2 linked regions of the Caenorhabditis elegans genome follow. The protein of the gene in region 1 interacts with the protein of each later gene in a pairwise test. Each region holds a gene or a part of one and is shown on either strand. Other genes may lie near its edges.

Region 1 (7,790 bases):
CAAGGCGGGCGGGCGCGCGCGCGGCGAGCGCTCGTCCCAATGTCCTCACTTTTATCCTTCCACCCCTCCTCCTCCTGTCTGGCCCTCCCCTTCTCCCACTATCACCACAGTCTGGTCTCTCTCTCCCACGTTGTATTTGTGTGTGTGTGTGTGTGTGTGTGTGTGTGTGTGTGTGTGTGTGTGAGTGTGTGAGCGCTGTTAGAGCGAAATGGAAAGTGAAAAAGGTGAGAGCGAGGAGAATTCAGAGAAGCACACAGAAAATGTGGGGGGGGAGAAGAAAGGGCTGTTTCTGTCTGGCCTGCAACGCGCCGCAGCCGCACGGTTAGGGCGCTGCTACGCGTCGCGTCGGCAGGCGCGCTTTCGATCTCTCCCCTCTTATTCCTACCGCCACCCCGCAAGCTTCGCCTTCGCCGCGCTGTCTAATACGCTTTCTATCCGTCCATCTCTCTTTCCATATCTCTCTCTCTCCGTCTTTTTGATCCATCGCTACGTTGTTCTGTATACAACGCAGAAAGACTACGTGAAGGCGACGCACTGCCGCCGCAGCAGTCCCCAGCAGCAGCAGCATCCTTTCCTTTCTGTTTCGCCCTCGTTTCCGCATCCATTGCTTTTCTTCTTCTCCATCTCTTCATCTTTCACTTTCCAAACTGTTTCTTGTACGATTGCACTTTCGTTTCTATTCCCTCCCCGTCGGTTTTTCGCTTTCCCTCGTTGTTTCTTCGAACCTGACTTGACTAACTAGGGATTTTTTTTGTTTTTCTATATAGTGTTTTTAGAGTTTTTATAGCGAAAATTTGAAAAAAAAATGAATGCTTTAAGTTTTTCGCCTTTTTTCGAGGTTTCAAAGGTACCTTACAAACGCCTGTTAAGTTTTCTGATCTAAAACATAAAAAAATTATGTAAACATTTGAGACATTTCTGATATAAAATGTTTATACGCAGCATAAGAAGTGCATAAGAAATTTTAATTTTTGCCTAATCAATAATTTTTTTGTTAAATTCATATCCTTGAAATGTTTCATTCAAACTTTTGATTTTTGAACTTTTGCGTACCCTCATCATTGGGAACACAACCCATTTGTACCTGTTCCACAATTTACCTAAAGATCAATTTTCGCATTTATTTGCCCAGTCAGTAACGTGATGTTTGTTTCTCCCCCCCCCCCCCCTTCTCCACCTTTCCTCTTATTCTTGGTTTTCCCCCCTTCTCTTTTGCGTACTATTTCGGATCATCACAAAGGTCGATTTTCTGCACCTCTGCGCTTCACCATCCAACATGATATCTCTCTCGTTCGCTCGCCCAGAAGTCATTTCGAACTGATTTGCCAAAAAGAGGACGCGCGTGAGATAGAGGAAAAGGGAGCGAGCGCAGAAGCAGCGCGAGGTGACAGAAAAACGCCTGAAAACACGTTTTCTTCTGTCGTTCCCCTCCCACTTTCCATTTTTTTTTGCCGCAAGGTTAGATTGCACACGTCAGATGTAAGAACAAAGCACTTTTGTGTGTGTATGTGTGTGTGCGTGTGTGTGTATGGTGACTGTCCCTGTCCCTGTGTGTGAGGCCATTTGCGCACTTGGCACGAAAATCTAGTTTTTCAACGCATTAAAAAGTGAGATAGAGAAGCAACAAAAAAAGAGACACCAACAAGAAAAACTTTATCTCTTTCACTTTTTTTTCACTGTTTGCGTTCGTTCCGTTCCTTGTTAGGGGGAACTTCAATGAGGGGTTTACGTAGACTTTTAGTGCAAGTACTTTCTCTGTTTTCAATTTCAACTGTTTTCAATCTTTGGCTCAGACTTATCAGTATTCTATTTTGTGGCTCGTGTTTCTCTCACGTGACACTTTTCCTCTCCTCCTATCTTTGCCAAATTTTTTTTTCTGATTGCTTCATTTGACTCTTCGTTTTGGCGTATTTCTAACCAAACTCGACTCTCTGATTTTTGCCACGTTTTAGCTGGAGGGTGTCTGTCCCGATTGTGCAGAGAGGTGTATGGCGACAATGTCAAATGATGCCGCCGCTGCAGCAACCTGGCACAACAACACGAGCACACCGATGGACACCACCGAACCAGCCACGAACAGTCATAATCCCGGTGAAACGGCGGTGATCGGTGGCCCAGAGGCCCTATTATTACCATCTGGCAGCGGGCCAGAGGAAATGAATAGGCACCCTCTGTTGATGGCGCAAGCACACGGAGAACACCATCAGCCACGGCTGCTCCATAATTTTCCAGTCATACCTCCACCTATACAGCAACACCAACAACCTCCTCTATTACAACAAGCTCAACCTTCTCAAATACCACATCCAACTCAACCCCAAATAGACCCCACAATGTTCACACAACAGTCTGGATTCAATTGGCCGCCCATAGACCCGAATACAATAGCAGCGTTGGCTCAGGCACAGCTAGCATCTTCTCATGCACAATTTGTGTCGTTGGCTTTAACGCTTGATCCAACGCTATTATCACATTTTTTGGCGACACAGCAGATACCTCCAGTTCCGCAGCCATTAGTGCACAAGAAAGGTGAATAAGCGGGGTGGCTTGGCAAAAGGTCATGAAAAGTGAAAGGCTTTTCGAACAAAAAAAAACTTGATTTTAATCGCGCCAGTAGTCAGGTAGTAAAATGCGCTTTACGTCAATGTCAGAGCGATTTGAAATCTAAAGTGCAAAATTCACAATACCAGATTTATGAATTGTGAATAATATATATTCAAATTTTCAGCGGAGATGGAACTTCGTGTCGGCAATCGTTTCCGCCTCGGTCGCAAAATCGGAAGCGGCTCGTTCGGTGACATCTACTTGGGTCAAAATATTCAAACAAATGAAGAAGTGGCGGTGAAGCTGGAATGTGTCAAATCCAAACACCCTCAGCTGCACATTGAATCACGGCTCTACCGCATAATGCTCGGAGGCATTGGAATTCCAGAGATTCGGTGGTGCGGGCAGGAAGGTGACTACAACGTTATGGTGATGGAGTTACTAGGCCCTTCACTCGAGGATCTGTTCAACTTTTGCCAACGAAAATTCTCGCTGAAAACCGTCCTGCTGCTTGCCGATCAAATGTTGTCTCGTGTGGAATTTATTCATTGCCGAGATTACATTCATCGCGATATTAAGCCGGATAACTTTTTGATGGGTCTTGGAAAGCGAGGAAATCTGGTCTATGTAAGTTTTTCTTTTGTGAGGGATTAGCCAGCCTACTATGTTGTGCCTTTTTTTGCAGATTATTGATTTTGGACTAGCGAAACGCTATCGTGATAGCAAACATCAACATATCGCATATCGGGAAAATAAGAATCTAACTGGAACTGCAAGATACGCCAGTATAAATACTCATCGAGGAATTGGTATGTTTTTGAAGTTGCATTAACAGTGAAGCACTTCAAAGGTGGAGTAGCACCAGTGGGGAAAGTGTTAAAAACTACTCCTATGGAGCCGAAATGAGCGAATAACAAAATAAAACTTTTCAAAAAAAAATTTGAAAATTTTTTATTTACAGTCAAAAAGTGACAAATACTTAGTTTTTACCACTCATAATTTTGAAAGTCGACCAAAAACACATTTTCCTACATTTTTTATAATTTAAATTTGTTGTAATTATTGCGACATTTCTTTGAATTTCCTCAAAAGCTTATGTGTGTTTCAAAAACTTTGGCAATTTGCCAAAACTTTGACCAGAAAATTTAAAAAAAATCTAAAATTTTTTGAAGTGTTTTGTTATGATATTCGGTCGTTTTGGAACATTATAAGTTTATTTAGCAAAAATCCCCTCTAGCGCTGCTCCACCTTTAAAAATGAAACGCAATATTTTTACAGTAACAGTAAAAATCATGATCCTATAATTTTTTTTTGAAAATTTGATAACCATTTCTTCCAACCCAAAGAATAATCCATTATTCGCCCATTCACACGTGGGGTTAGGTTGTCCCATTACGGTTTGATCTACTAAAAATGGGGGAATTTTTTGCCCAAAAAATGTGACGTCAGCAGGCTCTTAACCATGAGAAATCAGTTGAGAAGCCTGCGTCTCTTCTCCCGCATTTTCCGAAGATCTACGTAGATCAAACCAAAATGGGGCACGCTGACACCACGTGCATTCATACAACTTTGAATCAATTTGTTTTTTTTTCAGAACAATCACGAAGAGACGACATTGAGTCTCTTGGCTACGTGTTTATGTACTTTAATCGTGGAACTCTCCCGTGGCAGGGACTAAAAGCTGTCACAAAGCGGCAAAAGTATGAGCTGATATCAGAGAAGAAGATTTCGACGCGAGTTGACGACCTGTGCGCTGGCTACCCCGAGGCGTTTGCCCAGTACCTCAACTATTGCCGTAGTCTTGGATTTGAAGAGCAGCCTGATTATGGTTATTTGAGAAATTTGTTCCGCACGTTATTCCATCGGCAACAGTTTTGCTATGACTACGTGTTTGACTGGAATACATACAAGTGAGTGTTTCCTATTGATTTTTCTATTGATTTGCAAAGATTTTGAAACAAAAAAATATAGAAAATGGAGAAGAAAACGAAGGCAATCCCCTAATTTTTCCAGATTTGACTTGCCATTTTAACTCAAATTCCCCTCAAAAAAAGGTTTCTCACACACGTTCTGTTGTGATGTGTGTGTGTGTATTTTTCTTTGTTGTTTTGTACTTCTTCTTTCTGCTATTTTAATTTTAATATTTCAAGCTGTTTTCTTTCTTGCTTAGAATTTTGATTTCATCATTTTTTCATAAACTATAGCTTATTTCCGTTGGTGTCTCGTCACTGTGATGTTGCTAAACCGACGAGTGAAACAAATAGTATGTAGTGGCTAGATGATAATGCTTTTGAACGAATAACCGGTAAACTAGCGGTGTACTTTGCTTTCATTTTTCTACATTCACCAAATAATACAAAACTACTGACACGCTTTGTGTTTTTACAGATTTCGTCGCAACTGAAACTGATCGCATTGTGTGTCTGAAAATCCAAATAAAAACATACTATCCTAAGAATAGATTTGAACTGCCAGAGGTAAGAGTTGAGCACCACCACCACCGCACGTTTCCAATTTGCACCCGTTTTAACCAATCACTAATTTGGATTTTTGACTTTTTTTTAATTTTGAAAAAATCGAAAAATATCTCTAGTAACTAAAAACAAATTAGTCTTGCATACAGCAAAAAAAATATCTTCAAATTTTTTCCTATATAAAGCTCCGCCCATATCTTGGTTTTTTGGAATATTTTTGAACACGTACACTTTTTCGTTTTAAAGGTGGAAAAGCGCCAGTAAGAAAATGGGAGCAGAAATTGATAAAAAACCACTCCTATAATACAATGCCAAAATTGCCAAATATCATAGTAAAACGTTTCAAAAAAGGATATTGAAAATTCTTTTATTGACAGTTCCAAAGTGGCATTTGCCCCAGGTCTTGCCGCTTTTTTGAAAACGGCGGATCAGAAAAAAATTTTTGCTCCGAATTTTATGGCCTAAATTATTACTTGTGAATTGTAGGGATTCAAGAATGCGACAGTGCTCTAGTTTTGGAAATTTTAAAAGTGGAAAAACTTACGAATTGCCACTTTTTGACTGTCAATAAATATTTTTCAAAAAATTTTCCGAAAAGTTTTACTACGATATTTGGTTTTTTTTGGCACCATAGAAGTGGTTTTTAACAATTCTCCCAATGGTGTTACTTCACTTTTGCAACATTTTCAACCCAAAACTTTGAAAAGTTCACTTAATATTCCCCAACGAGTAATGTACTTATCTGTTTTGAAAAAAATGCCTCAATTTTTCACGAAAATTTAGTTTTTTTTTTGTTTTCCCTGTGTTTTCCTTTGTTGAAAATCTCGTAATTGGAAAATTCAAATTGTTATTTTTTAAAAATTTAAATTACAATTTTCAAATTCCCTGCACTCACCGTACTCGAGCAACTTTGATTCCAGAATTTCAATTTTGCAGATTCTACAACGAAAGTCTGGAGGCTCGGAACAATTTCCAGCAAGCGGTACCAAATCAACGTCGACATTAATTGTATCATCTCCTTTTCAAGTTTGTGCTCCATTTCCTCTTTAATATCTCATTTCTTACCCCCGTTTTGTGATACTATTCATGTTTCATTTGCCTCTTCCTTTTCTCCTCCTTCCTGTCTCTTTTTTTCCTCTGTGTTTTTTTGTTGTTTTCTTAAAAACAACAACAACAACAACAACCTGTTTCTAGTATTTCACTTGCAACGTTTTCTTCCATTTCTCTCTGTTCATTTTCCTCGCTCTGTCATTGATCTTTGTCTCAGTTTTTTCGGATGTATATTTTTACTTTTTTGACTTTTTTTTGTCTTCTTAATTGTTCCAGCTTAACAATCGTCTCTTTCTCTTACGAGTTTGGGTTTTTTGAACTTTTTTTCTAATTTTTCCAATTCATCGTTTACTTCTTTTCATATTATGAATACAATATACTAGATCATAGGATTTTGAATAAAAAACTGCCTTCATCCTTTTCGGACTATCTCTCTTACCTTTCTCACTGTTTCTTTTTTTCTCTCACTCGCTCCCCTCAACCTCTCTCTCTCTCTCACTCTCACTCAATCTGTCGCAATTAAAAGAATATATATATATATACATATAATATATATATATATATATATAACTTACCTCATTATATTGTGATTTAGGAAACAGTAATGTAACTACCACTTTTTTCTAATTTTCCCCCCTCAATCATTCCTTTTTGCGCAGAACGTTTCCAAAAAAAAAAACCAATTCTTGGCAATGCCGTGTGTCGTAAATGTGTCCTTTTTAATTTTACTTTTTCCTTTTTACACTTTTTTTGAAAATTATTGATTAATATGGTGTTTTTTTAATTCTCAAACGTCGCTTCTGCGGGTGAAGAGACCTACTGTATCAAACTTGATCCCCTCAATCCCCCCTCGCCCCGTCCCAATTCCTTTCTTCTCACAAAAGTTCACCTTTTATTTTTGCAGACTGGTAAAATGTATGTTTTGTCATTTTCTTTAATTCCTTATCCTTCTATTTTTTTGTTGTTCAAATGATTTCAAAAAAAAAAACAATTTTTTTCAAGCAAGCATTTTATATGTTGAGCAAATGTATGAGAGCACACTACACAGGTTGGGCGGAAGTGAACATTTAAGGGGATGGGTCAAATTTGAAAAAAAAACAACAACATACATAAGAACATATAAATTCTATATTACAGTAAGAATACGAAAATTGTTAATAGATTGCAATGGCCTTGTTTTGTAAAAAACACATCATTTGAAAAAAATTGTTGCATCAACTACACAAGTGCAAGAGTATTTAATAAAATCCATGTAAATTCAAATATTGCTGTTTTCCTAATTTTTACCTACTACTACCGGTTCAGAGAGTGGTATCAGTTGCAGAAACACAGACATCTTGGGATGTTTCCCAATGGGCGGGGTTGCGGGAAGAGCCGATTTGTGTGGATTTACGGAACGCTTTATAAATCGACACAAAATGGTTTTTCGCGCGCCCGTTCCCTTGGGCCTCGAGATGCATTGGTTTTTCAACTGACTACAATCTCTAGACCGGTGATATGACAAACGTTTGAAAATTTTTCAAAACATTTTATCTTGATATTTTAATTATTCAGTTTTAAGATAACTTTAGCATTTTTAAAGTAACAAATCCAACGCTATTCCACATTTAAGATCCTAATAATTTTTTTCTATTTATAAACAGTATACGAATAACATTTTTTTTCCAAAACATCTGACATTTGCAAAATATTCACAACCTTCCCTAATACAATATGTTAACA
Region 2 (4,887 bases), on another chromosome or scaffold:
CATCTTTAAAATCACAGTGATCCGAACAAAATTTCCAAAACGACGTTGTATTCCTATTATTTTCGAAAGCAAGAAATTGAACAAGTTGTGCAAATGTCTCTGTGATCAGTGATTTTCTTTGAATCATAACAATTCGAATATCACTTGGATTTGGCGAGATTGAAGACATTGAAACACTTGCGGCACTCATTTCTTGGCAGATAAAGTCGATAACAGAAAGTGTAAGCTTCGAGTTTATTCCGCGAGCACTGGAAAGCAACGACCAGTAGAGAAGACTTGGACGAATCATGTTGAATGTGATCTTCTGATTCGGAAAATTGAAATCACTTAGCACGTGAGATAGATAACATCTTGTGATTTCTCGAATTCTGTGTTCATCGTAACTTGGTTTTTGAGCTCCAGCTGAAGAAGCATCAAAGAAGAGTCGGTTTAAAAAGCATCGAGTGAAGATTGTAGAATATCGTTTGAACATAATTTGAAGTGCTTCCTCACATGTGCCTACTGGTGCTTTTATCAAACACTGAGAGAATTGTGTTTTCCAGGTATATGAGACATTCCAATCGATTTCACAATTTTTGAGCACGGAATGAGCAAACGAAGAAGCAAAGAGCGTAGCTTTGACTGTACTTGACAATCTTGCGGATAACACATTGCTTAAAAAGCCATGAACTTTCAAAGCAGCGTCATCTCCAAGCAGAGCAAATGAACGGCCGATGAGCGGGATATACATCTGTAGTTTCTTCTCGACGGTGGCTTCACTTCTACAGCATACCAGTTCCCAGACACGACTGAAATTATTACAGATGGATTATTTGTATTTGTGTAAACTTACAAGTATGCATTGGCATTTTCTGAAAATCCAATGTCAAGTGCTTTAATAATTGATGTGAACGAGGAAGCAATTCCTTTCGAATCGACGTGTAATAGCATTACACGGGAAGTTTGCAGGAACTCTCGAATTAGTTCTTGAGAAAACGTATTTCTTCTCGCAACAATTCCTTTGATCAAACCAGAAAGCGATTCATAATCGATTTTGACATTTTCCTTTGAATCCGGATCAACAAAACATTCTTCTCCGCACTTTTTGCAAGAATTTCTTCCATTTGCAGCCAGGCAGAATAATTTTTGCAAAGTCTTGAAATACTTCAATATTGTTAATTCACTATAGAATTCTTGTTTTTCGCATAACTTCGCGATGAGAATAGTGATAAAGTCATTAATCAACTGAAGATTATCTGTCAAAAACAGAATAAGCGGTTCGAAGCTATTTGCAATCCGGTCGGTTTGAGATTTCGAAAACACTGCAAGCGACATTTCAGCTACCAGATTGATATACTTTCCCGTCTTCTTTTCAAGTTGAAGAGCACAGTTTACAGCTCGCAATTTTGTAGATTCCGATGTGCTCCTCTCGAGAACTGTAGTGAATCGTTCCAAGTTAATTAATTCTGACGGCTCCGATTTTGGTAAACCAATGAATCTGAAGTTGTCCCATTTTGAGCCAACTCGATCACGAAAATCCTGGAAACAAGGAATCAATAAAAATGGAATAATTTGTTTCACTCCTTCATCGTTATTGTTGGCAAATGGACAAGACGCAGTCACAATGACAAGAGAGTTTAAAGTAGCTCTCGATGACTCGCCATTCAATAATGTGATCCACAATTTGTCTATAGACGGGACGAATTTCTTGCAGAATTGCTGGCAATGAGGATTCTGTACACTGAGTAGAGATCTAAGAATTCGTGGCCAAAGCGGATTGTTGAGGGAATGATGAGCCTCAATCTCTGTGGCAAAACATTGAAAAATGTCTAGTTTCTGAATTCGAGCAAGTTTCAGCAGAGACGCCAATATGTCCAGGTAATCAGCAAGGCAATCAGTGTGTGTACTTTGAATAGAGTGTTTGATTCGCCGCTGTAACAATTCCGAGATTTAATTGTTTAATATTCTAATTAACTCACCATGCAAATCTCACTTGCTGTCATACATAGCCTCGCAGGAAACTCATGTATATCATGGTTTGTCGATAAATCTAACAACAACAAGGAAAAGTTTTCTAGTAGTCCAAACTTGTCATTTGCATCATCGATTAACTCTAAATAAATTATGAGCCATTGAACTGGTTTTTGTCGAAGTTCTTTATGCATAATCAAAACTTTGCCATGATCCTGTAGAAAGTGTTGTATCTCCTGAAATTGATAAATTATACATTCGAAGTATAAAAATGAAATTACATTCAATAGCTTTGGAAACGTCATGTGATTGGTCGACTTCTTCGCAGTTAATGAGTTAAATGTGGCAAACAGTTCATCAATGAACAGGGCCTGATCAAGAATAGAATTGTGCAGTTTTTTATATTTTAAGATTGTCAATCCAGCACGCAAGCAATTTTCGGTCATCGAGCAATCATTTTTCAGTTTGTCTTCCAACTGTGATCGGCAGTGAGGCCAAAACAGAACCAATTCATCGAAATGAACGCATTCTCCTGCGTTTTCTCCGAATAAAGTTGAAATGATATTCCACTTCAAATGATATCTAAAAAATCCTGAGGCACCTAATGAAATAGCTGAAGCAATTTCAGGAGTGATTAATTGTGGCAGAGAAGACGAAGGTTCGACGTCACAATATTTAACAACTTCCAGTAATCCTTGCAGGAAATAAATAGTTTCTCTCGGGTCTTGTTTCGTCACAGAGATCATCAGTACTGATAGAATTCGCTGAAATAAATAAAAAACATTGAATTATTGAATATAATTCTTGCTAACGTCAAAACATTTTGCCAATTCTTCATCCTCAAAGGCACACATCGACGCAATCACTGATTGAAATAATCTTATTTTTTCCTCTGGAACGAATATATTAATACAAATACTAAATTGTATTTTCTACCTGAAGAAAGTTCCTGCTTCTCTGTTATTAAATGTAATGTAAATGTTATACTCTGAAGGATCATTCTGAAAAAACATAAATATAATCATCATCTTCTACATTTTCCAACTCACATCTTTTCCATGAACTCATTTTCGTCTAACTGCTCGATTCGGGAAACGAAAGATTTCGATAACAATTTAGTTATGTCATCTAACAAGAATTTCATTTTTTGTCTGAAAATGTAAAATAAAAAAGTTAAGATAAGATTTAATAATTATACCTGTTGAATTCTTTCTGCGTCACATATTTTTTCGCCGTACATAGCAGAGCTGAAACATCCTTATCGATATTCATTCCCAAATATCTGAAAGCCTGCGCACGTTATTTCAGTGGTTCGATGGATATTTAACAATATTTAAAATATATTGCTAACGTTTTTGTGATAATATTATGAAGAATTCACTAATACTTACTAAAAATAAGGAAACGAACAAAGTTTAAAAATAAATTCCTTCCGCAAAAAAAATTAAGCAAAATATAGAGTTCGATTGGATCGAATATATTCGAATTTGCATTGCAAATACAAACTCGCCCTATTGAAACGGCGCGAAATTTTAAACGATTGCTCCAGTTTTTGTATTGTTTTGTTGAAAATTATTATTTTCTCGTGAAGTTCCAGATTCACTTCGTTTTATTTCGTTAAACGTGGACTGTTTTTTTCAATAGTGCAATTCCCCAACTCATTATCGTAAATTCTCAGACGAATTTGATCAAATTCAATATGGAGGAAAGTACAAACGACGGCGATGAAAACAAGCCTGCAACTGGGAAGGTAAATTAAATATTTTTGTATTTATCAAAAGCAAAACAATTTCAGAAGCGACAACAGCTTGAATCTCCGTTTTCTGCTGCGACACCGAAATCGCGTCTCGGAAAGGAATCGAAAAGGTTTTTCGGGCGTTCTGCTATGAATTTGGCCGATGGAAATCTTGAAGAAACTCGCATTGAGCCAGACTCGCGCCATTCGTCTACCAGTACCTCCGACTCTATTCTTGATGATTCTTCAATCTCCAATTTTTCCACACTCGCCCCGCCAAATACCTCCGTTGATGATAACAGTGTCTGTGAACCGCCAAGAGCTTCCTCAGCTCATGATGTCGATCCTAATTTGGAACAAACGAAGGTTTACAGTGAAGACAGCATCAGCAAAGACTGTAGCATTGCTGACGAGAGTTTTGCGACTGATGGTGACGTCACACTGGCGAACGACTTCTTCCAACAAGCAACGATTCAAGATCTAGAGAATACTCCGTCAACACCACTTCGGAGCCAGACACAAGTTGGAGACGAAAGTACACCAACTGCTCCTTCCCCACTTCGTTCGAAAATTCCAATCGAGAGTGAGGTTGTGCAGTCAACTTCTGTAGAGTCAGTTCAGTCAACATCTCAGCATGAAAAATCGAGAATTGAATATTCTTTGTAAGATTAATTTAAATTTATTCCCATTGTTAAATTGTTTATTTCAGATATGAATTCGAAATGCTGGAGAAAAATATCGAGCATGATGAAGTCGTTAAAGATCTTCAATTGAAAATTGAACTTCTTGGAGAGAAACATAGACAAACTCTTGTTGAAATTAAAGAAGCTCGTGAAGTTGAAGAGAAAATGCTCATGCAACAAGTGGAGGAGGCTGTAAAAAAGACGAAATCTGAGCGCGAAGCTGCAAAAACTCTGGAACAACTTCTTGAGAAACGGATTGAAGAGCTCGAGATGAAATTAACGGAGCCGAACGGAGAGAAACTACAGTTTGAACATCAGTTGGAAGAGTTGAAGAGTCGTTGTGAAGAGCTTACTGACAAAGCACTGAAGGTTGATGTCATGCAACACAGCATTGAGGACTACGAAAAAAAGTTTGTGGAGTTGCAAGAAATGAAAGAGGAGGCTGATGAACAACTGCAAAAGGCTAAGGAAGACATTGAGACACTACAGATGAAGTATGTGGAATTGGAGACAACGATC

Evidence for each region.
Region 2: the proteins of kin-20 (region 1) and atl-1 interact in a two-hybrid assay, tested with the Caenorhabditis elegans proteins (2 studies listed by BioGRID).

Annotation. Positions count from the first base shown.
Region 1 is NC_003284.9:15,267,891-15,275,680, reverse strand, and holds kin-20 (Casein kinase I), read left to right. Parts: upstream 1-1,941; 5' UTR 1,942-1,988; coding exon 1,989-2,529; intron 2,530-2,728; coding exon 2,729-3,171; intron 3,172-3,229; coding exon 3,230-3,353; intron 3,354-4,138; coding exon 4,139-4,454; intron 4,455-4,557; coding exon of another isoform or gene 4,558-4,576; exon of another isoform or gene 4,577-4,598; intron 4,599-4,932; coding exon of another isoform or gene 4,933-4,948; exon of another isoform or gene 4,949-5,021; intron 5,022-5,954; coding exon 5,955-6,024; 3' UTR 6,025-7,065; downstream 7,066-7,790. UniProt on the Caenorhabditis elegans protein: Essential serine/threonine-protein kinase that regulates diverse cellular growth and survival processes including Wnt signaling, DNA repair and circadian rhythms. Casein kinases are operationally defined by their preferential utilization of acidic proteins.
Region 2 is NC_003283.11:9,642,233-9,647,119, forward strand, and holds the start of atl-1 (Serine/threonine-protein kinase ATR), read right to left. Parts: upstream 3,243-4,887; 5' UTR 3,223-3,242; coding exon 3,149-3,222; intron 3,102-3,148; coding exon 3,000-3,101; intron 2,952-2,999; coding exon 2,887-2,951; intron 2,843-2,886; coding exon 2,763-2,842; intron 2,715-2,762; coding exon 2,232-2,714; intron 2,187-2,231; coding exon 1,959-2,186; intron 1,912-1,958; coding exon 833-1,911; intron 789-832; coding exon 1-788. Other genes in the region: hcp-2 (HoloCentric chromosome binding Protein), read left to right, coding at 3,650-3,700, 3,746-4,347, 4,395-4,887. UniProt on the Caenorhabditis elegans protein: Serine/threonine protein kinase which activates checkpoint signaling upon genotoxic stresses such as ionizing radiation (IR), ultraviolet light (UV), or DNA replication stalling, thereby acting as a DNA damage sensor.